7 linked regions of the Oryctolagus cuniculus genome follow. The protein of the gene in region 1 interacts with the protein of each later gene in a pairwise test. Links are inferred from orthologs where the notes say so. Each region holds a gene or a part of one and is shown on either strand. Other genes may lie near its edges.

Region 1 (4,014 bases):
TCCCTTGTCTAGCCTCCCTAACCAGTAGCCATTTTGGTTTCCATCAGAATGCCTCTAAAGACCAGGTGTTAAGATCACAGGTGCCAGAGCATTTTTAACAATTTCATTCACTGAAAAATTTCTTACCCTGAATTAACATCTGCCTCCATGTAATTTCTATCCATTGAACTTATCTCTGGGGTCGTGTAGAACAAAATTCTACATAGCTGTTTTAAGGCTGTTGGCATTTCCTCAGAGTTTAAAAAAACACACACACAAAAAAACCCTGGACAGACTTCTTAACCCAACATTTCACCATCACTGCATCCTCTTGGTATCTGTCAAAGATACAGGCCCAAAACTGGGCACTTAAAATGCACTGTGATTTGTACAAAAGACAGCAAGACAGTCTTGCCTTTTTAGAGACAATGCATGTATTGACGCTGCTTCCACATCCCACTTGCTTTGCCATATCTCACTGCTGACTCATCTTGTACTTTTAAGAAGTTAAAATTTCTTTAATAAGTACTTATTTTATTACAGGGTCACAATACTGTGCTTGTGAAGTCACCACCCAGTGTTGAAACTTAAAACTTATGCTTCTACATTTGTACTGTTAGAAGGCTTAGTCCAGGCCGGCGCCGTGGCTCACTAGGCTAATCCTCCACCTTGCGGCGCCGGCACGCCGGGTTCTAGTCCCAGTCGGGGCGCCGGATTCTGTCCCGGTTGCCCCTCTTCCAGGCCAGCTCTCTGCTATGGCCTGCAGCTCTCTGCAGTGGAGGCTGGCCCAAGTGCTTGGGCCCTGCACCCCATGGGAGACCAGGAGAAGCACCTGGCTCCTGGCTTCAGATCAGCGCAGTGCACCAGCCCCAGCAGCCATTGGAGGGTGAACCAACAGCAAAAGGAAGACCTTTCTCTCTGTCTCTCTCTTTCACTGTCCATTCTGCCTGTCAAAAAAAAAAAAAAAAAAAAAAAGAAGGCTTAATCCAGCCTCATTGAACTCCCTAAAACAATTCTCCCATTCAGCGCGATGTAGATTACCACCAAGCCGATGAACTCCAAGTGGCAGAGCCCTTCCCTTGCACAGTCCTGCCCAAGGCCCTACGCTAATGTTGCATTGATAATTCTGAAATCTTTTTTCTTAGAACACCAAAATGTGTTAGAAGCCTCACAAAACCAGGATCCACCCTTGCATCTAGCATATTAACCAACAACTCTGCTAAGATGTTCACCTCTTAAGTGTATCTTATTTTTGACACTGATATTACACACATCTATAGGATACAGAGTGACATTTAAGTAATGTATACAATGTAAAAATAAGTAGGGCAGGGTAACTGGCACATGTATCACTGCAGACATTTATCATTTCTTTGAATCAGAAACTGAATATCCTCTCTGCTAGCTATTTTGAAATGCAGCTGCTACCAAGCATAACGTTAGAAGTGACTCCTATCTGACTGCATTCCGGTACAGGTCGACCAGCCTCTCTGCACTCTCCCTCCCCTACACCCTCCAGCCTTTGCCCCACCAATGGGAGCCTTACCTTGGTGAGAGGAAGCGTTCCAGGCAGAGTAAGCCCCTCCTTCTCCAGTAGCCTCTTCTCCTCCTCGGTCAGTACCAGCCTAGCAACCTCCTGAGGTTACGGGGAAGTAGGCAGCAGTTGCATGGGGATGTCCGAAAGAAATGGGAATTCCCGCCCCGCCCCGCCCCGTGCAATGTGGGGATAAGCCTCCTGAAAATCAAGTCAGCTACCTGCTCTGTTGGCTCCTCCACATACAGCGGAGTCATCGGAGCCTCCTCCTTCCCATAGCTCCCACTATCTGCAAAAGGGCAATTGTGACTAGCCGGGCCCACGGACCCTCTCCTCTAGCTCCCAACTTTTCTGATGTCACTCACCTACGTCCACGGAGACATGCTCCTGTGGGAGGGAGTAAGTGTGATCGTGGTGCACAGGCGAGGGCTCGCAGGAGCTGAGGTCGGCCAACGACGCCGGGGGACTCAGCAGGGTGCTCAGCAGATCCTCTGCCTCCCAGTCGCTCAGTACCTGCACCGGGTTCAAATTCCCAGGCCCTGGCCTGTCACTGACACCCGGGTCTCGCGGACGTGCCGCGCCTCCCTGACGCGGAGCCCTACCCACCCACCTCGGAAAGCGGCAGCTCCCAATCCGGGGGCGCCTCCACCGACTCATCGGCTGCCTCCCCCCATGCTCCGCTCTGCTCGAGCAGGAAGCCGAGCAGGTCCTGATCGCCAGGGTCCAACGCCAGCTCCATCTGCGACATCTACGGCAGAAACTCAAGGGTTCACTTCGCAGCCCGGTTCCAATACGCGAGCCCCAGGCACGACCCCCAGCCCAACCGCCGGGTCTCTCCCGCCTACCCACCGCTCCTCTTCGGCTGGCCTTCCCCGCTGCCGGGGCGGCAGTCGCTGTCAAGCCCGACCCACCCACCCGCCGGACTCCGTCGCCCTCGGCCTCCAACACAGCACAAGTGACGCACGCGGCCCCGCGGCCTCTCGGGACTTGTAGTTCCCTCCGAGCCGGAAGTGGCTCGGGTGCTGCGCCACGTCCCGGGGGCGATGCAAATGAGGGGGACGTCCCCGCCCCGGGGGCGGGGACACCGGCGACTCGCCTCCGCCTTCGCCCCGAGCTAGAAAAAAGGAAGAGTCCGAGTGTAACAGGGAACTCGGGCGCCGCTGGGGTGTTTTCTCCGGATTGCGCCGCGCCCTGGCTTCCTGCCGGGGAGGGGCTGCCAGTCTTCGGCGGGCTCGCGAGCATCGAGAGCTGGGGCCAGAGCAGCTTCCTGCAGGTCCCCAAAACCATAGAGCGCGGGCCCAGGGCGCCGCCCGGGGGTGGGGGACGCGCCGGGGACGGAAGTGGCCGAGTGTGGCGAAGGGAGGGCGAGGCCGGAGCCGGAGAGCGGGCCCGGAGGACGAGCAGGGCCGGCGGGCGGGGCGCAGAGCCGGGCAGCGCAGGTAGGCCGCGGCGGGCCGGGCCGGAACCTCGGGGTGGGGCCGCGAGGTCTGGCCCGGGAGGCGGGCGGGCGCGGCCCCTGACTGCGGCGCGTCTATGGCGGGTTCTGGGGGAGACGTCAGCTTCCAGGGTGTCTCGGCAGGCCGATCTGCGGGAGGTGGCTCCTCTGCGGGAGCAGTCCTTGGCCTGGAATAGGTTTTGGGGAAGGGTGAGGAGTGTGGCGGCCGCGGGGCGCAGGGCGGGGATGGGCTTTGGTGTTTGCTGATAGCGGGGATGTTGGGCTGGAGAGCTGTGGATGAGTCTGGGTTTAGGTGGGGTTGGGTTTGGGAATCAAGGGTCTCTTTAGGAGGTGTAAGGCCGGGGTTAACGCTTGAGTTATTGGCGTGATTTAGATCCGTTTTATAAATAAGTGAGGTTGAGGTTGAGGTCGTTATTTTGTTTCCTGGGATGACCAGAGGTAAGTCAGAGTTAAAAGAGTTCAGGGTCAGGTTAATGGTCAACAACAGGAATTAGGTTAGAAGTCCATTTTAAGGATCATAGGATATTGTCGTGGTCAGTTTTAAGGATAAACAGTGAAAAGGTGAGTTAGGAATCAAGTTACAGGTGAGCTAATTTAGACTTAGGGGTCAACATTTTGGGTTAAAGTCAGCAGATTTGGTGCTAACGGTAAAAATTAGTTGAGCCTTAGGGATCAAGGATTGGATGCTTGCTGGTCTCTGCTAGGAGGGGGATTCTATGAGAATGAGGAAACAAATTAGGGCACTAAGGGCAGACCCAGGCCAGGAATATTGACCTTGGGCAGATAACATTTAAGAGGTCGGCAATAGATCGATGCCTTTGGTGTGTGTGTGTGTGTGTGTGTGTGAGAGAAAGAGAGAGTGGGGGGGAGGGAAGTCCCCTCATTTTTATTTAGTCACAGGAGCTTCTTTCAGCCAGAGAGATGACACATTTTGGGTTGGGGTTCTGGACTTCAGGTAGAATTTCCTCGATTCCTCTCTAAGCTCAATGCTGTTGCTGTGGCCACCACAGTTACGGGGCAGGGATTGCTGGACTGTGTTCTGTAT
Region 2 (3,234 bases), on another chromosome or scaffold:
AATAGAAGGCCTTAGCCCGCCAGGCCTCTCTCTCCAAGGTCGCCAAAAGCGTTTGCGTGTATGGGACGCTAGGGGGAGCATCTTGGAGTTTGGACCGCTGAAGCTAACTTCCACCCTGAAACTACAGTGAAACTACAAGCTGGGAGCCCTGTGAATCCTGGGTGGTATCGCTTCCCCAGTTCCCGGAAGGGCCCCTAGAAACTTCTCCGCACAAGATGAGCGCTACTGAAGCACCGCTGTCCCTCGGACGCGGATCCACACCTCCCCTCCAAAGTTGGCCCTCTTGGTGGAGTGTGAGTTTGCGGTAGAGAAGCAGAGTGGTGGCAAACCTATTCCTCCACACGGTTCTGGCAGAGCTATTCCGGCAACAGCTGCCCTCTAATTTTAACCCTTCCCGCATTGAGTCTGCAGGAAGGGGCCTCCAGCCCCCAAGTGCGCTCCACCCCAGGGTTAGGCAAGCCAGTGAAGTGACTTGCAAGCACCATGCACTCCACAGAGCAATGACAGGAGATGGAGTAAGGGCTCTGGTTGCTGCCCCCCCAGCTCCCACACCGCCACCACCGTCTCTCAGGAATGTGCCAGGCGCAAAGGAAATACATTTCGAGGGCAAAAAGGTGAAGACACAAATGCTGCCCATACCGATTCAGTTGATTTCACCCAAATGCTTTGAGCCTCTGGATGAACCTCTGCCCTCCCTCAAATCAGGGCTGGGATAAGGGCCAGGGTCTTGGGAAGGGGGTGGGGGGAGGTGCTGTTGCCCCTGCTTACTCAATATTGACTGACCACAACCTAGCACCGATAAGGTGATCAAATGACCAGGCACCTTCAACCTTTATCCAGGTGGAAACTTTTTACTCACCTCTCTTCCTGCCAGAGCCCTCCAGGTGGTGGGGGAGGGCAGGCACGCACAGGCTATTTTCTGAATTTGCTTTGTTGGGGGTCGGGTATACACATTGATCAGGGCTCTTGTTACACCCCCACCCCCACCCTGTCCCCTTTTACACATTAACTCGGAAAGGGACACAGTCAGTCACAGCTGCCCTCTGCCTCATCCCCCTTTCCCTCAACCCCCATTCCCTACTCCCCTGACCCCGACTGTAACTCCTTTCTTCAGTCCCCAGTTCCCCACTGCCAAGTGGAGGTAAAGGGGAGTGGGGCTTGGCAGAGCAAATCAGCCCAGCATGGACTAAAGTTGCCCAGGGCTGAAGGCTCAGAGTCCAAAGAATGAGGAATCCCGCCTGCTGCTATTAGCAAATCCAAAGACTGCCCAGCTAGCGCCAGTCTCCAAAAGACTGAATCTCAGACAGTAAGGCCTGCACTTCCTGCCTCTCAGCCCATTGCCATGCGGCCCGCGTTCCAGTCTCCTTTCCTCCTCCATTTCTTCAACTTGTTTACTCCAACATGGGCCCTAACCCGCTGGGCCCCTGTGCAGTCTCTGTCACCTGACAGGGTGGGGACACTGCCAGGTATATAGCCCTTGCCCCTCCAGCCAGGCCAGGCACTGACGCCAAGGACGGAGACGTTGACTAAGTAAGGTAAGGGAACGAGAGGTGCAGGCAGCATCCACGGAGCACTGGGCTTTAATTGTGGAAAGGGAGGGAACCAGGGCGGGGCAGGGGGAGGCACTTAGGTAGGGAGATCCTGGGGAAGGGGCTGAGAGCGTGTGGCTTCAGTGTTCCTTCCCTTCTCGGCACTGTCCCCAGACCATCTTGGCACTGTCACCACCATGAAGTTGCTCGCAATGACGGTGCTGCTCCTCACCATCTGCAGCCTTGAAGGTGGGTGTATTGCGGGGAGGGGGCGCCGGCGGGGAGACGGTACCGGGAGTCCTAGCTGCCAAGCTGCCCAGGTCTGGTAACCTGAAGGCTCAGAAGGAAGAGTACTCCCTCTCTGAAGCCCACAAAACCCCTCCAAGGAGCTGGCTGGAAGCCTACTTGGGGAGGGCGCTGAGAGCTGGGGTTGGTAGCAGGAGGCCGCAATTCACTGCCATGGACCCAGCTAAGAGAGTCTATGTGTGTGTGTGTGTGCTTGCACAGGGGCTTTGGTTCGAAGGCAGGCAGAGGAGCAGAGCCTGCAGAGCCTGGTCTCTCAGTACTTGCAGACTGTAACCAACTACAGCAAGGACCTGATGGAAAAGGCCAAGGCCCCCGAGCTTCAGGCCCAGGCCAAGTAAGTCTCTGGGAAAGGGGTTGCGGGGCTGTGCACCGGAGGATGGAAAAAAGGGAAGATGGGAGGTTCCCACAGAGACTGAGCTGAGGGACGCAGGTTAGGGAGAATGAAGCTTAAATTGCAGAGTCGAATTTCTGCATCACTCAAAAGATGCCACATGGCTCCTGGACAGGTAGGGGCAGTGGGAACAGCGCCTGGAAGTTTCATCCCTAGGGTCTATTCCTCTGCCCAGTGGAGGGGCTTTGCCGTCCAGGATGGACCAAGCACTAGGATTTGGGATTAGGGGTTCATCTGCTCTGACTTCCCACCAACAAAATCCCTTCCCTACCCAGGGCCTACTTTGAAAAGACACAGGAGCAGCTGACGCCCTTGGTCAAGAAGGCTGGAACTGATCTATTTAACTTCTTGAGCAATTTCATGGATCTCAAAACACAGCCCGCTGCCCCGTGAGGGGGTCTACACCATTGTCTTCCAACTCCAGCTGGCCTCTTGAGCACCCCTGGGCCAGGCCTGCAGCCCCTCCTTGCCTATCCCTGTTTTCTACAATAAATGGTGGAGGAGTCAACCTGTGAGCATGGTGTGTTTAGCGGACTGTGAGAAGTGGGTAGTGGGGGAGGAGTAAGAGAAAGGAAGAAGAAATCTTCTTGAAAGGACGGAGGACTGGTGCAGAGGTGTGGAGAAAGCACTGGAGAGACAAACAGGGTGAGGGGGCCTGTGATTCTTCTTGGGACCCAAGGAGTCTCCTCCAGGCCTGGGAATGGCTCTGCAGTGGAGTGCTAAAGAACCTTTGCACTGGACATGGAACTATGGAAGGAATGCAGGATTCCTAAGCTGAATCCCTAGAGTTCTAGAGGTCACAAGAAATGAGGGCACTGCAGAATGTCCTCTCCATCATTCTGTGAAGAGCAGAAAGTTTCCAAAAAGTGAACCCAGAGCTATCACCCAAGACCCTCCCCTTCGGAACCAGAAATGCTGTGTTTCCCCCATCCCACAGTAAAGGAGAAGACCTGGGCTCACTCCCCTCCCCCAGGGTGCTCCAGCTCCTCCATTCAAAACCTTTCCTCT
Region 3 (3,380 bases), on another chromosome or scaffold:
TCCACGTGGTACCTTGCAGAACAGGCCTGGTGTGAAGAATCAGCCAGATCCTCCAGGCAGAAGTTATCAGGGTTATAGGTGCTGGGCTCCTCCCCAGGGCCACCACTGGCCACCACGTGCCTGCAGGACCCCACTGGGCACTGCAGGCTGAGGCTTACAGGCTGCCCCGTGGTATCCCAGCCTGATACCTTGAGTCTTGCAAAGCTTGCAGCACTGTGTTCCTCGTCACGTCTGGACGTAAACGGCTGTGTTAGTCCAAACCAGAAAGAATGCATGGTGTGCAGACTGCTGTTTGAGGTCAATTTGAGTTTAAAAGTAGTGAAAAGATGATGTAAATGAGTATACTTAAGGAGACACTAGGATGTGATAGAAGGACGACGAGCCTTCCAGAGGTTGGTGTGGTGGTGTGCGGCACCTGGCACTGTAACTGCAGTTCTGGGTACCCAGCCTGAGGGACAATCAGACTGCAACCAGCGCTCGGACACTCAATTTCACTGTCTCTTAGAATAGAGTGGAAACGACCCGATCACAGTTCAGTGCATCATTCTATGTTGTACATATGTTGCCATTCGTCCTTTTTAATATGTAACAGCTTTGAAAAACATTTACAATACTCAGTAGAAAAAAATTTATACTGGCACATACAAAACAATATTGGTAAAGCAGTAACAGTAACAGTGGTGAGACAACAAATTATATTTCAAGATTTATGTGAAAGAGCTAGAGAGAGGTCTTCCATCCACTGGTTCACACCACAATGGCTGGGGGCCCTGGTTTCTCAGACCATTAGCAGGGAGCTGGATCGGAAGTGGAGCAGCCAGGCTGTGAACCAGGCCGATGGGGGATGTTGGCACTGCAGGCAGCAGCCTAACCCAGTACGCCACAGTACGCCATAATTTTTCTTCTAAAATCATTTTCTGGGGTGGGTGTTGGGCGCAGTGATTCAAATGCCACTGGGGACCTCCTCTGAGTACACAGGTTCAAGTCCTGGCTCCACTTCCGATTCCAGCTTCCTGCTGACGCACACCTGTGAGCAGCAGGTGACGGCTCAAGGCTTTAGCCTAACCCAGCCCCAGCCGCTGCAGCCATCTGGGGAACTGAACCAGCAGAGGGGAGATCTAAGTCTATCTTTCACATAAAAAAAAATCTTTAATGTGTTCATTTAGGACAACTTTTAAAATGCAGTTTTGTCAATTCGCAAAAAATGAGTTCTGCAGGCCGGGGGTCCTGGCGCTGCTGCTCAGCTCAGTCTCCCCTCGGAATGAGCCCCAGAGCTCCCGTGGCAGGCCAGGCCCTGGCCCAACAGCAGGTTTGCACAGCTCCCCAGGGGGCTGCGGGGGACGATGCTGCAGGATTTTATGCGGGGCTGGGACTCACCGGTGTGCCTTCCCCGCAGGTCCCGCCGTGCGGAGCAGGCGCGATGGCCGGGCCCGGGCCCCGCTGGGGCAGGCACGTGGCGTTCCTGAGCATCCTCCTGCTGGTGGCTGGGGTCATCTCCCTGCTGTTTGACGCCCTCCTCTGCAGAGCCGGCAACGTCGTGGACCTGCCGCACTTGAGACTTGGCTTCTACAACTTCTGCCTGTGGGACGAGGACCTCGGCGCCCTGCTCTGTCACCAGTTCCCCGAGCTGGAGGCCCTCGGGGTGCCGCGGCTGGGCCTGGCTCTGGCCAGGCTCGGTGTCTACGGGGCCCTGGTCCTCACCCTCTTCGTCCCCCTGCCTCTGCTCCTGGCCTGGTGTAATAGGAGCGAGGGGGAGTGGCGGCTGGCGGTGGGCTTCCTGGCCGCGGCCTCCGTGCTGCTGGCCGGCGGCCTGGGCCTCTTCCTCTCCCTCGTGTGGAAGTGGCTCAGGCTCTCTCTGCTGGGCCCGGCCTTTCTAGCTCTGGGCACGGCCCAGGCCTTCCTCCTGCTCTTGCTCATGGCCACCGCTGTGTTCTCTCCGAGGGCTCAGGACGGGAGCAAGCCGGAGAGCTGCTGTTAGCGCAGTGCAAGGGTTCGGTCCCGGAGAGGCTCGGGGCCATCTCTTCAGAGCCAATGCCCAGCTCCCACGGGAGCTAAGGAGCCCACTGGCGAGCAGGGGGCGCCCCCGCAGCTTCTTAGCATAGGGCGATGTCTCCTTTAGGACCGCAATGGCTGCCGTGGACATCCGGAACCACCGCCTCGCTGTCACGCGGGTCCCCGCTTTCCTTGCCCGGTTTAGTTCTAACTGGAGGGATTCCTGGCCCAGGGCCGCAGTTCCTGACGGATCTCAGTGGAGGTTGGGACGAGGACGTCGGCTCCCTGCGGGGTCACCAGTTCCCAGGGCTGTGCCGAGTCGCCCGGGAACGACTGCACAGGGTACATGAAGAGAAGGCCCGGGGTTGCCCTCGAAGGCCCCTGGGTAGCCTGGAGCAGGAGGCGGCTGGCCAGTCGCTCCCGGGGCGGGATCCAGGAGACAAACGCTTGGTAAGAAGAGGCCAACAGGTCGGAACGGTTCTACCCCCGACAGACACGGCGGCTCCGGCAGCACGCGTCACGCCCGGAGGAGTTCTGTGTTTTCCAGCATCTGTGTATCGGGACACCTGTAAGGCACGGCTATGTTCAGTCTGGGTCAAAGCCTCGCTGAACACAGAGGTAGCAGGAAGGACTGTGGTGCGAGGACATCTCCTCCGTGGCGGGGTCTTGCCCTCCCGGCCGGGCTGGTGTGCCAGTGGGCCGCCGGCTGCAGGAGAGCTTGGGGCCTGCTCACCGCGTGCTGGAAGCCACCTGACACAGGCTCCGTTCCACCAGTCCCTGTGCACGGAGTGGCAGCACCACTCTCTTAAACCCTCAGGTTGCCCCCCCCACCCCGGGGCCTCATTTTCCCAGGAAAGCTGGTAACTGAATAAAACAATTGGAAAACAATTGGAATTCCAGAACAGGGAGAGCTGTTGTGCAGGGAACAATGGGGTTCGACTCCCCAGTCCCCCCAACCCTTAAAACAGGGCTTCTGGCCTGGGGCGGGTCTGGCAGGACCAAGGAGGCCCAGAGCCGCGGAGGCAGGGGGCCAGGGCAGCGCTGAGAACCTCAGCTGAAAAATATCTCCCTGACGTATTTTAGCACGTCTTCCTCTTCCTCCTTCTCTTCCTCCTCCGGCCTCCTGCCGCCAGCGGTGTTGGGAGGGCTGAGGCCTGGCACGGGGGCGTCGTCCTCTCCCTCCTCTTCCTCGCTGCTGCTCCCTGAGCTCGTGTGAGGAGACGGGGAGGGGGAGCCCTCCGGCTTATCGGCGCCCAGCAGGGACGGCAGCTCCCCAGCCTTTTCCTGTTTGCCGTCCTACAGAGTAGAGAGAGGGCGGGCGCGGCGTGTGCATCTCCTCTCCCTAACATCCGGGCTTGGCCGGGACTCGGGACCCAGCCTGAGGCCGC
Region 4 (4,132 bases), on another chromosome or scaffold:
GGAAATACTACCAATTAAATAATAATAATAATAGACAAGATCCTTCCATTTCTTCCTAAGCGGTCATTTAGAGTAAGCCACACTACACAAAGGAGGTCTGTCTGTGCACATGAACCCGGATCGCACAAAATCATTTCCGTTAACACCTAACATAAGCTCTGCAGCTGGAATCCTGTCTCCATCTCCCATCCGGGGAAAACTGGACCAGGGCAAGCTGCCGCCCCTGGAATCCCGTCTCCACCTCCCATCCAGGCTCCATCTCCCATCCGGGGACAACTGGACCAGGGCGAGCTGCCGCCCCTGGAATCCCGTCTCCATCTCCCATCCGGGGACAACTGGACCAGGGCAAGCTGCCGCCCCTGGAATCCCGTCTCCACCTCCCATCCGGGGACAACTGGACCAGGGCGAGCTGCCGCCCCCGGAATCCCGTCTCCACCTCCCATCCGGGGACAACTGGACCAGGGGGAGCTGCCGCCGCTCCGTCTTGGCCTCTCACTTGGACAGAAGAGTACTAGCAGAATTTTCTACAGAGCAGCGCACCAGAGAAGGCAGGTCTGGAAGTCCGCTGCTCTAGCCCGGACCTGCCAAGGAACTCCGGGATTATACAATACACCTCCTCTTAGGGAATTCAATCACAGCGACAACCAACAACTCTCGCTAAGATTTACTTAGAACGCAGAGGGACACACCAAAGCACGCCGGGATATTATTTCCCACCCCCCCCAGTAGTCCCCCCACCCACCCCCCGAGTAGTCCTGACCCCCGCATGCACAACACAAGCTGGGCCCACCCCCAAACTTTGAACGCCACCTGGGGGAACAGGCGCGACCACGCCCACTTCCAATGCTCAGGTAAGATCCCGAGGCCGGCTTTCCTTGGGGGCAGAAAGAGCGTCAGCTCACGAACCAGACTCCCGCCCCCCGCCCGCTAAGCAATGCCCCGCAGAGGGGGCGACTTGCAGCTTCCCGACCCCCGACGGCTCCTCTCACTTGCGAACGTATTTCCGGGCTTCATTCTCGTCGTAAAACTGCGAGAAAGAGAAAAAGGCAAGTCGAGGCAGGAAGGCACACGCGGGGGGTCCTCGAAAAGCCGAGAGGAGCGCCCGCGGGCCACAGGCCTTACCAGCTCGGCGGGGCCGCAATGCTCCGGTCTGCCGCCGCGAGACGCCATCCTCGCGTCTCTGGAACACGCCGGCTACTGGCGACTCCGGGCGCCGGCTCTTACGTCATCAGTCCCGCGACCGGCTCGTGACGCACATGTTCCACCCCCTTTCCCCGCCTCCCTATTCAAGTGATTGGCTACGGGGCCCACGCCTGCCAATTCCTTGCGCTTCCCATTGGCCGGTCCGTCTCCCAGCGGTCGCCGGCTCCGTTCAAGATGGCAGCCGCGCACAGTCCGCGGTGGTCGCGGCTGCTACTCTGGCGACTGTGGCGGACCTGGGAATTCGCTCCCAGTTCGGCGTCGAGTGTGGGCCTGCGAGCAAGAACCTATTCTCGGGGCGACGGCCCGTACTCGCGCACTGCGCTCTACGAGCTGCTCGGCGTCCCCCCCACGGCCACGCAGGCTCAGATCAAGGCGGCCTACTACCGGCAGAGCTTCCTCTACCACCCCGACCGCAACTCCGGCAGCGCCGAGGCTGCCGAGCGCTTCACGCGCATCTCCCAGGCCTACTTGGTGCTGGGCAGTACCACACTCCGTCGCAAATACGACCGCGGGCTGCTGAGCGACGAGGACCTGCGCGGCCCCGGCGCCCGGCCCTCCAGGACGCCCGCGGCCGACCCCAGCCCGCCCCGGCCCCCGCCGGCCGCCTCTCGGGCCCCGCACGGGGGTCGGGCAGCCCCTGGGGGTGCCGAGCGCACCATGTTCGACTTCGACGCCTTCTACCGGGCACACTACGGGGAGCAGCTGGAGCGCGAACGGCGCTTGCGGGCCCGGCGGGAGGCCCTTCGCAAACAGCAGGAGGATCGCGCCACCAAGGGCTTCAAGTGGGATGAGGTCCGGGACACGACCTTCATTTTCCTCTTCCTTTTAGTCTTCATCATCGTCGGCTTTCGGATCTGAGCGGAGAGAGGCGGGAGGAGCCGCGGCTCAGCCGGTCCCGGGACAGCGGCCCTGCTGGCCCTCGGAACTTTTGACCTTCCCTAGTCTACCTCGGCTTGGGGTCCCAGGAGCTGAACTCCCTCTGCCCTCCCCACCCGCCCAGCTACGTCCCTCCCCGAGGGTCCAAGAAAGAGCCCCCTCCCCCCAAGATGGAGATTCTCGGAAGTCCGGAGTGCAGGGTTTCCCCGGGTCCCTTGAGTGCCTGCTTCCCTCGGATGTTGTCAGCGACTGGACCACTTGCTCTGGCTTTATTGTGAGGCCCCAAGCAGGACTTATCTGCCCCCCACCGAGCCGCGTGGGGGCTTCTCTGTAACCTTGAAAAGTGCAATACGCCCAAGCACTGGCTGCCAAAAAAAATTCTGGGGTCGTCCGAGAACCTGTCTCTCTCTGTGAGTTCCCCAAGCCGCAGGTGGGAGTTCGGGCAGCCCCCAGGCCACTTCCCCCTCGGAGGGTGGGACACCCAGATCCCAGAGCGGAAGCACCAGTGTTCCTGTCTGTGTCCATTTAACTTGGAGGAGCTGCTCAGGGCCGTGACCGCAGAGGAGTGAGTGACTTGCTGTTTTGAAGTCTGTCCCGTTTATGGCCGGTAATTCTATGGTGATGCTGGTAGGGCCAAGGTCATCCTCGGGACAGTGTGCCTGTCAGCTGGTCATCCTGTTCCCAGGCCATCCTCCCCTCCCAGACAAGGGTCACATTCAGCTAAGAGTTCCCCGAGGGTGGCCCCTGCCCCTGTGTAGCTCGCAGTGCTCATCACAGCCCTCCCCCAAGTCCTGGAAGCAAGGGTGCTGGAGCGGAGGGAACTGAAGTGGGCCGGGCTGCTGAGCAGGGTGGCCGGGCCCAGAGAGACAGGCCGAGGCAGGGGCCCAGAGCTGCAGCTGGGAGGCTCCTGGGCCTGGGGCAGTGGGGCTGGCCATGGGGTTGCAGGTGCTCAGGGGGCTGCACTGGGGCCCAGTGGAAGGCTGGAGCAGAGCAGGACTCTTGCCAGGGGTCCAGAGCAAGAGGGAGGGCCCGAGTCCAAGGTCTGAACAGAATCGGAGGTGCCTGGGTGTATTAGCAATTCCTGTACCCATGGTGTCTGATCCTCGGGATAAACCCACACATAGTCCAGGTGGGGGCTGGGCTCCGACATCCCTGTGGGGCGGCCACAGAATGGGCCCACCCTGGTTTACTGTCCTGGCTCCGTGAGCCTTGATGTCGGGGGTGGGGGTGTGTACTTTTGGAAAGAATGTCGACTGTTGGTATGTTTCATATTTGGAAAGCAAGAGGGGCCATTTGTTGAAAAACAGGCCGAGGGGGATGGGAGAACGGAGCCCTGCAGACAAACCTGGCAGGAGCCGTGGATGGCTGACCAAGGGGGGGGGACTACTCGAGCCTCAGGGCTTTGGTTCTTTGTGGGTTCGTGGAGGTACATGGGCCCCTTGGCGTAGACCTCCCAAGTTTGTTTATGCTCCGTGAAGCCCACAGCTCTGGAAGTTCTGTCCTGGGACCTAAAAAGTTACAGGTCTGGGATCACACTAAGCTTAGGGAACCTCCCTAGCCCGCCTGCAGCTCCAGGCAGGGTAGCCTGGAAGGCTCCTCCCCGTGCAGAAACAGCCCCACGCTCTGCCTGCCTCGGGCGGGGAGGGTGGGCTCTTTATGAAGCACACCCCCACCCCGGCTGCTCCCCTGGCTGACATTTCTGCCCCATGCCCCTCGCAGGGCCCCCGGGATTTTGGTCTGCTTCCACCTGCCCTGTCCAGGGGTGGCTGCACTAGGCCGTTGGGCATCAGCCTCTGCCTTCTAGGGTTGATTCCCGGATTCCCGATGGCAGACACGGAGGCCTAGCCGTGCTCCTTTTTTCTTCTGGTCACAAATAAAAAGCAAAACTTCCCAAGAATTTGGATCTGGATTGGGAGACTAGGGCGAGAGGGACCTGCGCAGGAGCCCCGGAACCAGCTGGGAGAATGTGTTCCTGCTCGCTTCCTCCGGCGTCTGGCACCTCGTGCCCTGGGTGCACCTTTGGCCCCTGCAGCCGTCCCAGTGTCAGCCAAGG
Region 5 (4,143 bases), on another chromosome or scaffold:
TAAACTTGTAAATATTTAGAAATGGTCATTTTATAGGAAAATTGGCAAACTTTTGATAATACGGTAGAACAGATGAATTAATATTTTACTTAATTTATATTGAACATGCAATAACAAATAAAAATCTTTTTCAGTTGTTTGTCATGTTTTTACTTATGAGAATAAAAACCGTAAGAATTAAGCACAAGCTCACTTATAGTCGAAAGAAGACAACACTTCGTCGTTACAGCTTGGCAGTTATTTCTCACGTTAAGGGCCGTTTAGCCCGGAGTTGAGCTGTAATGCTACAATCTGCAGATGACAGTAACCTGGATTGTGTGCTGACTTGACGCCTCGCGCCCATTGCCTGCTTTGCCGACACAGCTGGAGGTCACTTTGTCCTCGTGTTCTGACCGCGGCATGCTGTTGATCTCTGCGCTGTAGCACAGTGCGCTGCCACCGCCACCCTCAGCTCTTGTCATCTCCGTGCTGGGTGTCACCTCCACGCACTGAGAGCTCAGCACTGTTAAAATCAAGCCTCAAATCTACTAGAAATAAGGGCCCGGGAGACACAAGTCACCAACATTATCCTCTCAGCATTCGCGGGCATTAAAATGTGCGTGCGTTTAAACTGGGCTCCCAGGCAAGCGAGAGCGAAGCGTGAAATCAGCGCCAAGGGGCACCTGTGCGCATGCAGTGCAGGAGAGGGCTTTGTCCACCTAGTGGTGGACCAGCTGAGGAAGCCCCGCCATCGGTGGCCCCTAGTTCATGTGCCCAATGAACTAGGCGAGCCCAGCCTAGAGACCAAGAACGCACACTTTGGGGTCCACTGCCCGGGGTTTCATGACCCTAGCCACCTGACATCCCAGTCCGAGGGCAGGCAGGACCCCGGCCCCGCTGTCTTTCCCAGGCTGAAAGCTAACACCTGATGAGGACACTAATTGTGGAAGCCGGGGTAGCACAGCAACGTGCAGACCCCATATCCAATAGATACCAAACCGCTGCGCAACTGGGCAGGAGGAGACGCCAGCTGAAGCAACACGTGACGCCCGAGCCTGCGCGTCCACTGCGCCGAACTACAACTCCCGGCATGCGCTGCGGCGCCGCCCTCACGGGCAGGGCCGTCAAGGAGGCGGCCGAGCTGCCCGACCCGCGGGCCCGTCGGGCCCTTCCGCTGTGACAACTTCCCCCAACAGCGAACCGGATATTCTAAGCGCTCCGGGAATATCGCTCTAACGTGCGGTGCCGCTGTCCCTCAGGACCCGCTCGGCAGCGAAACCCTTCCGACTTTCCATCAGGCTTTCGCGCACGGCGCTCCCATAGCGTTAGGCTGGAGGGCGTGGACGTTCCGGCGCGGGAGGACCCCGCCGCGGCCCCGGAAGCGCCTCGTCCGCGGCGGCGGGGGCGCGGCGGTCGCCGTGATGGCCGTGGGGCTGGGCGGCTGACCGCCGGGCCGGGAGCAAACTCAGAGCCCAGAACCTCGGCGGCCGCGGCCGTAGCTCGGCCTTCGTGATGGCTACCTCCGCCGCCTCCTCGGAGCATTTCGAAAAGTTGCACGAGATCTTCCGGGGCCTCCATGAAGACCTCTTAGGGGTGCCCGGGCGGCTGCTGGGGACGGCAGGGACCGGTGAGGCAGGGGCGGGACAGACCGTGGGCAGTGCAACCCCGTGCGGCCGGGCGCCAGTCTCGCCGCCCCTCATCAGACACGCCTCCCGGGGACCCCCCCCCCCCCCCGTGGCTTCTTAAAATTCGCATTTTGGGTGGGGAGGAGAGGTCTTTAAATCTGTGATCCTGTGTTCTGGGGAATGGGCTTCTTTCGTAGCTCCCTGTGTATTGTTTTACGCATTTAAAGGCCTTATTCTTGGGGGAGGCCCGTCGTTTCTATCAGTCTGGCAGTAGAGGGGGTGGAACGGGCGTTTGCAAAGAGAAGGGGAAAAAGGGGGAAGAAGCTGCGAGGGAGCGCGGAATCTCACGCTCTCAGCTGTGGAGTCGGGGGTACGTGGGGGAGAGCGCGTCAGCCAGGACGTGGAGGGGTCTGATTGTCCACGCCAGACACTTGGACTTGAGGTGGCGAGTCGGGCGAAGCGTTTCGGGCGGCTGGTTAATGCGGATTTTACTTTCGAGAGAGGGTGCTGGTGGCTGGATAGAGGAGCCGCACAAGAGTGAGGGGCCCGGGCTGAGAGCCCTAGTGGCGGGCGTCCGGGTGCGTGGGTTTCTGGGGAGTTCTGCATCCAAGAGCTGGCTCGGAGGCAGGAGCTGACCGGCCGGAGCGGCTGTGGGGAGCGAGGAGCAGCCGCGCAGGGGCCGGCGCGCTCACCTGCAGGCAGCGGAAGCCCACTTGCCCGGGTGTGTGTGTGAGGGCGGCGGGGGCGCCTGTGGAGCGGACATCACGGGGTCGCGTCCGTTGTAGCCTGACGAAATACGTGGTCTGCCGCGGGGAAGAACAGACCGGGGAACTGGGAGGCAGCGGTGAAGCAGGAATCCTAGGGCCGGGGTTCAGATCCACTTCAGCAGTGTGACCGCGGACACGTTTCTTTAACCAAACTAGTGTCCCCTGCAAAATGGGAATAAACTGAACTGTCTGCTTCTAGGGTTTTTGTGAGGAATAAATGCGTGAATCAGGATAACGCCCCTGACGATAGTAGGCAATTTCTTGTCATTAATATGTGGGGAACTGAGTGTTTCGGGCGAGACTACCAGCTCTGTATACTACCTCTCTTAGCTTGCTCTGCGTTTCCCCCAGATCGCTTAGTCTCTAACAGCGTACTAGACACTCCGCATATTTGTGATAGTTACAGTTGTTTGTCTTCTTTCCCCAGAGTAGTTTTTTTTTTTTTTTTTTTTTTTTTTTTTTAATTTATTTGAAAGGCAGAGTTAGAGAGAGAGACAGAGAAAAGTCTTCCATCCGCTGGTTCACTCCCCAATGGCCGCAACAGCCAGAGCTGAGCTGATCCAAAGCCAGGAGTCTCCGGGTCTCTCATGTGGGTGCGGGGGCCCAAGGACTTGGGCCATCTTCTACTGCTTTCCCAGGCCACAGCAGGGAGCTGAATCAGAAGTGGAGCAGCCGGGACTCAAACCCATGCTCATCTGGGATGCGTGGCAGGTGGTGGCTTACTTCACAGTGCTGGTCCCCAGAAACTGTTTTTTGTTTGTTTGTTTGTTTTTTAATATTTATTTATTTGAAAAAGTTACACAGAGAGGAGAGGCAGAGAGAGAGAGAGAGAGAGAGAGAGATGTCTTCCATCCAATGGTTCACTCCCCACTGGCCACGACGGAGCTGCGCTGATCCGAAGCCAGGAGCCAGGAGTTTCTTCCGGGTCTCCCATGTGGGTACAGGGGCCCAAGGACTTGGGCCATCTTCTGCTTTCCCAGGCCATAGCAGAGAGCTGGATTGGAAGTAGAGCAGCCAGGTCTGGAACCGGTGCCCATATGGGATGCTGATGCTTCAGGCCGGGGCATTACCCCACTGTACCACAGCGCTGGCCCCCAGAAACTGTTTTAACAAGCAGTTTGGTTTAACCACCCACCTGGGGATATTTTTTAAATTTACAAAAGAAAAATTGTGTTGTACCCCCCAAGTAGTTACCATATTCTCACTGCATTTCCATTTCCCTATGAACATGTCTTATTACTATATTTGTCAGAATTAAAGAGCTCACACCCAGTTTCCCTTGTTTTTAAACCCAAACTCTTTTTATCCCTTCCAGCACGCCCAGCCTCTAGTAATCAACATTCAGTGTTCAGATTGAGAGGTTTGGTTTGGTTTTGTTGGTTTTTTAAATTTTAGCTCCCACATACAAGGGAGAACAATGCAGTATGTGTCTGTCTGTGTCTGGCCTTACTTCACACAACATGATGTCCTCCGATTCCAACCATTTTGCTACAAATGACAAGATTTCATTCTTTTTTAAAAGTAACACTTCAGTGTATATACATTCCACATTCTCTTCATCCATTCCTCCCATGGTGGACACCTTGGCTGAGTCGTTACTTTGTCTGTTGTGATGAGCACGGTGGAGCAGGCCCGCTGGGTGAGCTCTGAGTCACTATTGAAGTCAGTGCTGTGTTCGTGTGTTATGTATCCTAAGCACTTAGAGTGTCTGGTGCCTCCTGGATGCTCCATAAATAGCTGTTGAACGATTGATTATATAATTGCTGCGAAGA
Region 6 (3,190 bases), on another chromosome or scaffold:
TGGCCTCTGTGGCCATTTGGGGAGTGAACCAGCAGATGGAAAATCTCTTTCTCTGTCTGTAACTCTGCCTCTCAAATAAATAAATACATTTTTTTAAGTCCCATGTTCTATAGCAGTGTGTGGTTTTCATTCCAGGCTCCTGTTCCAGCTCCCTGTTAGTGCAGACCCTGGGAGGCAGAAGTCATGGCTCAAATAATTGAGTCCCTGGTGCCCACATGGGAAGTCTGGCTTCTAGCTTTGGCTCTGGCCCAGCCCCATCTATTGTGGGCATTTGAGGAATGGATTAGCAGAAGGGAGCTCTCTGCCCCATAAATTAAAAAAATGATTTTCAGTTCTATCTTTTTACTATAAAGTTATTTATTTATTTGAGAGGAAGAGAGAGAGACAGACACAGAGAGATAGTCTATTTACCAATTCATTCCCCAAATGATTGCAACAGTTGGGGCTGGGTCAGAGCCTAGGTCAGAAGCTGGGAACTCAATCCAGGTCTCCCACATGGGTGGCAGGAACCCAATTACTTGAACCATCACTGCTGCCTGCTAGGAGCTGCATTAACACAAATGTGGAGTCAGAGCTGGAGTTGCGTGTTAAACCCAGGTACTCTCAGGTGGGATGTGGGCATCCTAACCAGTGGCTTAACTGCAAAGCCAAATGCCTGTTTGTTTTTTACTTTTAATGTGGCCACTAGAAAGTTTAAAATCATCTATGCGGCCTGCATAGTACAGCTATCACCTGTCACTTGGTGGGGATGTGTTTTGAGAAATGTCTTGCTGGGCAGTTCCATCATGGTGAGAACATCGGTGTACTTACACAAACTAAGGCAGCTGTAATGAGATGAAGTGCTATAGTCCTACACGACCACTGCTGTATCCAGGGTCCACGGCTGACCACCACAATCTTGTTGTGTGGTGCATGACTGCATTTTAATGGGCAGTGCTGGGCCCCCTCCCCCCACCCAGGGTTACTCAAGTATCACCTTGCTTTATTTTCCTTTAATGGCATTTCTGTTCCTTGTCTGTCTCTGCACAGCCACCTGCACCCGTGAGCAGGATGGAGGAAGCTCTGTGTGTGCCCCAGCACCGAAGACAACGCCTGGCCCTTCGCAGGGATTCAACAGCTGTTGTCCAGTCGATCCCGGGCCAACAGGGGAGGCGGGGAGGCTCCAGCCTGTCTCACCTGACTTCTGATGTGCAAAGTGGTGCTTGACGTGGTGCGCCTTCATGCTGTACAGGTAGGAGCCCTTGTTCGGCGAGCCAAAGTGCAGGTAGTAATGGGTCATGTCGTAGAGGACATAGCCCAGGAGGCCCCCAGCGAACATCGTGCCCCCCACCGCCTCGGGCAGGATGAGCCGCAACAACACGTAGAAAAAGGCGATCACCAGAGAGGCCGGCACGGGGGGAAAGACCAGGCGGGAGCCGTCGAAGGGTGCCTGTGGATGGAGAGGCCCGAGTGTCAGAGGTGGCGCTGGCTCGGGGTCGCAGCGTGCCTCACTGGAGACGCTCCCCAAGATGAGCGTGGAGCAGCCCGAATGTTTCCAGTGAGGGGACAGGGACCTGTCTTGGGTGGGCCTGGCGTGTTTGGTGGCTTTGGGAAGGGCAGGCCACCCAAGTCCAAAGCCCTGGAGAGATTGCCCGATCCAGGAACACAGGGCCAGGTGTGACGTGGGAGGGAGCGGATGCAGGTGTGCTGATGGCTCAGGGCCCACCTGGAACTCAAGGGACCACGTGGGCCCTGGTGCCAGACAGGAAGGCTCAAGGGGCTTTCTGGAGACAGGGGGCCTAGCCTGAGGCCTGCGATCTGGGAGGGTGTTCCCGGAAGTGTTGTGCAGAGATGTGGTTTGCACCGCCACCTCCCCACACAAGGCCCTCTGTGCAGGGACAAAGCAGGTGTTGCCAACAGAGATCCGCAGGTGTGGGCCTCCCTTCCTCAAACCATGGCAACAGGGCCAGTGCTGTGCAGGGAAGCAGTGCTCAGACAAAGGCAGGCAGGCTGGGGGCAGAAGGGATAAAAAGCAGGAGGGAGGATGAGGGCGCCCAGGTCAGCAGCGTTTGCCGATTCCTGCAGTGTAAACACTCCTGACGTGGCCAGGGTCAAATTAGGCATGAGCCCAGGCCACAGACCCCTAGACACAAAGGCTTGGGTATCTGAGGAGGTGGCGGTGGGCCACACAAGCTCCTCCTGTCCTTGTGCTGTGCCATGACGGGACTGCGTGTACTGAGGTGGAAATGTCTTGGAAGAGAGAGCCCGAGACAGTCCCTCCAGCCCCCAGAGGGTCCGTTTGTCCCCTGAAGATGGGAAAGTTGACCAATAGGGAGCGATAGATCTGAGATGTCGTGAGGGGGGTGAGGGACAGGGCCTGGACAGCAGAGGCCCGATGGGCTGGCGTCAGCCTAGAAAGAGGACACTGGCCGTGGCACCTCTTAGAGCCAGGCTGGCCCAGGACTGGATGTTCACCCAGATACAGGCTGCCACGTGAGACTCCCAGAACACAGCTCAGCACTGGGAAGAACAGGAGGGCAGCCCACCCCAGCAGAGAAGAGAAAGTGGGGGAAGGCCCTGCCTTGGAGGAGATGGCGGCGAAGGGGCCCCTGGGCCAGGCCGAGGACAGCACTGTGCAGGCACAGCAAAGCTGCCAGGGGGAGGTAGCTCCCTGGGGCCGACCTGGCTTCCAGTCCCACCTCTGGGCTGATACTCCCAGGGCCAGCGGGTGCTGGTGAGAGCAGCCACATGGTGGGGGACAGCGTGCTGGTTGTGCCTGCCTGACCCTGGGTGAGTCCCTTAGTACATTAATTCCCCCTGGCCTACTTCCTGCTCTGTGGAATTGGGGAAAACTGCAGGTGCTTCGCCTGCTTGGGTCACTGATGCTTGGCACATGGTAGGCATTCAGCCTCAGAACACTTGCAGAATGAATGAGTGAATGAGCTGTGCAGATTCACGAGGCTCATGGAGGGTGACGCAGAGGCACACGTGCACACATATGTACACACACGCACAGCATTTACATGCATGCTTATGCACACATGTGCACACACATACTCACTCACTCACTGTCCCGTCTTGCTCAGATTAGGATGCCTGGGCCCGTCTCCCCCCTGTGCAGCCTCCGATGCCTCGGGTTTGCCGATGTCCCACCCCACGGCCACACCCACCTTGTGGTGCTGGCCGTGCAGCACGAAGTGCAGCGTGATGA
Region 7 (4,087 bases), on another chromosome or scaffold:
CTGTGGATATAATAGGTATCCTCATACTAACTTCCACCACATTGTTTGAAACCTGGGTGAGCTCAAACCCAAGACTCAGTCTCTTTCCCCTGTCTTAAGTTGCGAGAACAGCCCCTCTAAGAAACATGCTTAATTTGCGAGCAGTTGAGACTTCTGACTACAGGGAAACGTCATGCAGGATCTTGGAAAGAATTTTCAGAGAATTTACCTAGAAATGAGAAAGTCACCAAAAAAATGGAGATAATGAAAGATGTAAGCCCCAAATCAATCAGGAAATGAAAAGGATTTTGGAAGAGAGAAAGTGTGGAAATTCACAAGTGCCAGTTTTGTCATTCTTGCCCTCCAGGATCTAAACCATTAAGAGATAACCCCAAGACCCATATATGAGTGGGAAAGGATTGTATTAGCTTCATTACCGACTAGATAGGGGGCCCTACAGTTCCACTAGAAAAAGAATACCTGGGGCCGGCGCTGCGGCTCACTAGGCTAATCCTCCACCTGCGGCACCAGCACACTGGGTTCTAGTCCCGGTCGGGGCGCCGGATTCTGTCCCAGTTGCCCCTCTTCCAGGCCAGCTCTCTGCTGTGGCCAGGGAGTGCAGTGGAGGATGGCCCCAGTGCTTGGGCCCTGCACCCCATGGGAGACCAGGATAAGTACCTGGCTCCTGGCTTCGGATCAGCATGATGCGCCGGCTGCAGCAGCCTTTGGAGGGTGAACCAACGGCAAAAGGAAGACCTTTCTCTCTGTCTCTCTCTCTTACTGTCCACTCTGCCTGTCAAAAAAAAAAAAAAAAAAAAAAGAAAAAATACCTGGGATCTGTGGGCAAAACTGGACTTCTTACTATGGTCCCTCAAATCTAGACCTTGAAAATGTACCTTAGGAGAGAGGTCTTGAGGCACATACTTGGCCAGCCAGAATCATAATGCCCTATCCCATATACCACCAAAGAAGGAGAAAGCCAAAGATCAGTGATCTGTCAGGCCATGTCTTGAAGACCACTCCTGCCCCTTGGCTGGCTGTGCTTGCCTCCTAAACAAAGAGCAGGTATACAGATACTCTTCTGGAAGACAAAGAGAAGTTGAATTTTATCTTGGTTCTGCAGCTTAGTCTAAGCAAATCAAATAAGAAGAACCAAAGGGTCCCCTTTTCCTTTCCATTAGTGTATGCAGCGTGCCTCAGCCATTTAAAAACTTTTAATCCAGTGTAACATGAAATAGCTAGAAGACTTTTTTCCTTGAATAAGTGACATTTTAAACTTTTAATTTCTGTATTCTTTTGACATTAAGCATCTTCTGTAAAAATGAATTGAGCTCAGATATGCACAATTTTATTAGGTTAGGAAAGTGATTCTAGCATTGCTCTGTTTCATAGGTTGTAGGCCATAAAGAAGGTCTGGATGTTATGGAGAGAGCTGATCCTTTATTCCTTTTGATCGGACTTCCTACTATTCCTGTCATGCTGATATTAGGCAAGATGATTCGCTGGGAGGACTACGTGCTTAGGCTATGGCGTAAATACTCAAATAAACTACAGATTTTGAACAGTATATTTCCAGGTAAGGCCCTGAATTGTGTTTCTAAAATACATGTCAAATTGATCTTGTGGCAGAACCATAACATGGCTTTAGAAATTTCTAAGGATATTTTTCTTCTTCTTCTAGGGATTGGGTGTCCTGTTCCTCGAATTCCAGCTGAGGCTAATCCTTTAGCAGATCATGTCTCTGCTACCCGAATTTTGTGTGGAGCCCTTGTCTTTCCTACTATTGCTACAATAGTTGGTAAACTGATGTTCAGTAGTGTTAACTCTAATTTGCAAAGGACAATCTTGGTAAGATGGCTTTAATACTACTTATTTTAGGTGAAAGACAAAAGAGAATAAACCATTTGTTTTAAAGGGGAGAGGACTGTATAAGTAGTTGATCTGTGGCTCCTTTGCCTTATAACCCTCACTGTCATCCAGTAGCTTTAGAGGAAATAAAAAGAGGAGGAACCACTGTGCCAGTTCTGACCTTCCAGACTGATGCCATGGGCAGTTTCTCTCCTGGAGTATGCCTGAATCATCACTCATCCCTCTTGCCAACTAGTTTATGACGAAGCATGTCTACTGTAGGGTCAGACTGCTTGCATCAAATCCTAACTCAGAAATCGCCTTGCTGTGAAACCTAAGTCCAACTTCTGGACTTCTCTGTGCCTAGAGAATGGGGATGGTGGGGGTAACTACCTCAGGCTAATTATGAGGATTAAATGAGACCAGTAAGTACTCCGTGTTGTTTGCGGTCGTCATTCCTGCTGCCCCCTCCCCTGTCCTGGCTTCCGCACACAGGGCCCTGGTGTTCCCCTTTGTGTAGCAGAGTGGATAGAGAACTCAGTGAAGGCAGGCCATGCAGGATCCCAAGGAAGCCTTCTTTCTCTGTTACGTATAGTGGTTTCTCTCTCTCTCCCATTCCACCCCTTGATGGAAAAGCAAAACTCTTGCCTTTGCAGTCAGCTGCATTAGTTTGGCATCAGTGCCTATGTCTTTTGTGATTTGAGTAAAATTCTTCATTATGTTTCTCTAAACATACATTCTAATAAGCTAATTTTCCTTTTTCTAGGGTGGAATTGCTTTTGTTGCCATAAAAGGAGCATTTAAGGTTTACTTCAAACAGCAGCAATATTTACGTCAGGCACACCGCAAAATTCTAAATTATCCAGAGCAAGAAGAAGCATAAAACTGTGACTCCTAGTTGTTCTGCAGTCTTCTCATCCTTATGAGTCTGTTGTGTTGTTTTGATTCCATCATTCATGCACTAGTGGAGGCTTGTGATAAGCTGTTGCTCCTCTATTTTTCAGAAATATAATAAAGCACTTAGGGCAGGGAAAATCCTCTCAGTAATTGCAGAATCTAAGGATGTGACTTGTTTGCTTTGCTTTGTATGTGCTGCTTTTATGGCAGTCACCTGAACCATTTTCTGAGCATGGTAAACCTGGGTTTTCTTCAGATTTGCTCCAGACAGAAATGTAAAGATCAAACTGTACAAATATTAAAAAATGCACATGCTGTTTTATTCAAATGCCTCTTTTGTACATGTTCACGTTCAGTGTTTTCTTAGAATCAGCAACTCAGTGAAGGTACTATGAGGATTTTTCTCACTGGCATAATTTGAATACATGCTAAACAGGAGCATATGTTAATATGAGGAAATGTAAATTTAGTTATAAATAACAAGCCAAAAATGTATGTAAACATTCAAATAATTATCTGAACAAGTGGGAGTTTCTTGTGTTTTCTTTAACCCATGTGATGTACTCCAAAATGTGTAGGGTAAAAATTTCCAGGGCTTCCAGATCCCTTTTTCACTATTAAATTTTATTTATGTAACATTGTTATCTCATAGCTCATAATGTAACTTGGACTCATGTAGTCTTGATTACTGTATGTGTGTGGGTGTGAGAGAGAACGAGAGAGAGCAAGCAATCATGTCCTTCCACCTCGGGTAAGGTTTTTAAATCACTATTTCTAGAAATTAGAGCTGCCAGTTTATAGTTTGCGCAGAAGAACGATTTGCAAAAAAGGAATCAATAAAGTTATTTTACTCTCCTCTTTCACTGATTTGGTTCTTCAGACATTTGTTGATCACCTCCTATTTGCCTGGGCACTGTGCACAGTACTGTGGGGCACAGTGGTGAACAAGATAGATCTGGTCCTGCTCTTACATGTAGAGTTACCACATTTTAGCATTGAGTAAAGCAAGGTGAAGCACTGAGCTCTTTGCTTTTAAATCAGTCTGAGGAGATAATTATGCAAATGAGTCTTAGGTAAATACTGAATAAATCAGTTTATTATAAAAAATTATTACTCGTGTGTCTTAGATTTTTAATTGCCTGTATTGATGAGACTAGCACCAGTAAATAATCATTGTTTAATTAGTTTATTCATTTTTTCAAAAGCAGTTACTGAAGCCATTTTCAGTAGAGTGGCCATTTTATGTTCAGTGATCTGAATGGTCTTGCAGGTTTTTTTTTTTTTTTTTTGACAGGCAGAGTGGACAGTGAGAGAGACAGAAAGGTCTTCCTTTGCCGTTGGTTCACCCTCCAATGGCCACGCC

What was found.
Region 2: the proteins of CREB3 (region 1) and APOA2 interact in a two-hybrid assay, tested with the Homo sapiens proteins (3 studies listed by BioGRID and IntAct). The link is inferred for Oryctolagus cuniculus from reciprocal best matches to the Homo sapiens genes CREB3 and APOA2.
Region 3: the proteins of CREB3 (region 1) and TMEM140 interact in a two-hybrid assay, tested with the Homo sapiens proteins (2 studies listed by BioGRID and IntAct). The two-hybrid records come from large-scale screens. The link is inferred for Oryctolagus cuniculus from reciprocal best matches to the Homo sapiens genes CREB3 and TMEM140.
Region 4: the proteins of CREB3 (region 1) and DNAJC30 interact in a two-hybrid assay, tested with the Homo sapiens proteins (2 studies listed by BioGRID and IntAct). The two-hybrid records come from large-scale screens. The link is inferred for Oryctolagus cuniculus from reciprocal best matches to the Homo sapiens genes CREB3 and DNAJC30.
Region 5: the proteins of CREB3 (region 1) and VTI1B interact in a two-hybrid assay, tested with the Homo sapiens proteins (2 studies listed by BioGRID and IntAct). The two-hybrid records come from large-scale screens. The link is inferred for Oryctolagus cuniculus from reciprocal best matches to the Homo sapiens genes CREB3 and VTI1B.
Region 6: the proteins of CREB3 (region 1) and FA2H interact in a two-hybrid assay, tested with the Homo sapiens proteins (2 studies listed by BioGRID and IntAct). The two-hybrid records come from large-scale screens. The link is inferred for Oryctolagus cuniculus from reciprocal best matches to the Homo sapiens genes CREB3 and FA2H.
Region 7: the proteins of CREB3 (region 1) and MARCHF5 interact in a two-hybrid assay, tested with the Homo sapiens proteins (2 studies listed by BioGRID and IntAct). The two-hybrid records come from large-scale screens. The link is inferred for Oryctolagus cuniculus from reciprocal best matches to the Homo sapiens genes CREB3 and MARCHF5.

What each region holds. Positions count from the first base shown.
Region 1 is NC_091432.1:198,639,858-198,643,871, reverse strand, and holds the start of CREB3 (cyclic AMP-responsive element-binding protein 3), read right to left. Parts: upstream 2,801-4,014; coding exon 2,363-2,800; exon of another isoform or gene 2,359-2,362; intron 2,262-2,358; coding exon 2,124-2,261; intron 2,027-2,123; coding exon 1,879-2,026; intron 1,803-1,878; coding exon 1,735-1,802; intron 1,616-1,734; coding exon 1,526-1,615; intron 1-1,525. UniProt on the Homo sapiens protein: Endoplasmic reticulum (ER)-bound sequence-specific transcription factor that directly binds DNA and activates transcription. Plays a role in the unfolded protein response (UPR), promoting cell survival versus ER stress-induced apoptotic cell death.
Region 2 is NC_091438.1:37,576,186-37,579,419, forward strand, and holds APOA2 (apolipoprotein A-II), read left to right. Parts: upstream 1-1,215; 5' UTR 1,216-1,535; intron 1,536-1,703; 5' UTR 1,704-1,726; coding exon 1,727-1,778; intron 1,779-2,036; coding exon 2,037-2,169; intron 2,170-2,501; coding exon 2,502-2,619; 3' UTR 2,620-2,734; downstream 2,735-3,234. UniProt on the Homo sapiens protein: May stabilize HDL (high density lipoprotein) structure by its association with lipids, and affect the HDL metabolism.
Region 3 is NC_091434.1:170,989,123-170,992,502, forward strand, and holds TMEM140 (transmembrane protein 140), read left to right. Parts: upstream 1-1,420; coding exon 1,421-1,978; 3' UTR 1,979-2,285; coding exon of another isoform or gene 2,286-2,558; 3' UTR 2,559-2,880; downstream 2,881-3,380. Other genes in the region: CYREN (cell cycle regulator of non-homologous end joining), read right to left, coding at 2,286-2,558.
Region 4 is NC_091450.1:50,406,568-50,410,699, forward strand, and holds the start of DNAJC30 (dnaJ homolog subfamily C member 30, mitochondrial), read left to right. Parts: upstream 1-1,332; 5' UTR 1,333-1,377; coding exon 1,378-2,061; 3' UTR 2,062-4,132. Other genes in the region: BUD23 (18S rRNA (guanine-N(7))-methyltransferase), read right to left, coding at 990-1,027, 1,123-1,170. UniProt on the Homo sapiens protein: Mitochondrial protein enriched in neurons that acts as a regulator of mitochondrial respiration. Associates with the ATP synthase complex and facilitates ATP synthesis.
Region 5 is NC_091451.1:13,562,419-13,566,561, reverse strand, and holds the start of VTI1B (vesicle transport through interaction with t-SNAREs homolog 1B), read left to right. Parts: upstream 1-1,343; 5' UTR 1,344-1,491; coding exon 1,492-1,606; intron 1,607-4,143. UniProt on the Homo sapiens protein: V-SNARE that mediates vesicle transport pathways through interactions with t-SNAREs on the target membrane. These interactions are proposed to mediate aspects of the specificity of vesicle trafficking and to promote fusion of the lipid bilayers.
Region 6 is NC_091449.1:57,270,406-57,273,595, forward strand, and holds part of FA2H (fatty acid 2-hydroxylase), read right to left. Parts: coding exon 3,150-3,190; intron 1,430-3,149; coding exon 1,177-1,429; exon of another isoform or gene 1,030-1,176; intron 1-1,029. UniProt on the Homo sapiens protein: Catalyzes the hydroxylation of free fatty acids at the C-2 position to produce 2-hydroxy fatty acids, which are building blocks of sphingolipids and glycosphingolipids common in neural tissue and epidermis.
Region 7 is NC_091446.1:38,188,327-38,192,413, reverse strand, and holds the end of MARCHF5 (E3 ubiquitin-protein ligase MARCHF5), read left to right. Parts: intron 1-1,371; coding exon 1,372-1,555; intron 1,556-1,660; coding exon 1,661-1,827; intron 1,828-2,593; coding exon 2,594-2,710; 3' UTR 2,711-3,587; downstream 3,588-4,087. UniProt on the Homo sapiens protein: Mitochondrial E3 ubiquitin-protein ligase that plays a crucial role in the control of mitochondrial morphology by acting as a positive regulator of mitochondrial fission and as an important regulator of immune response.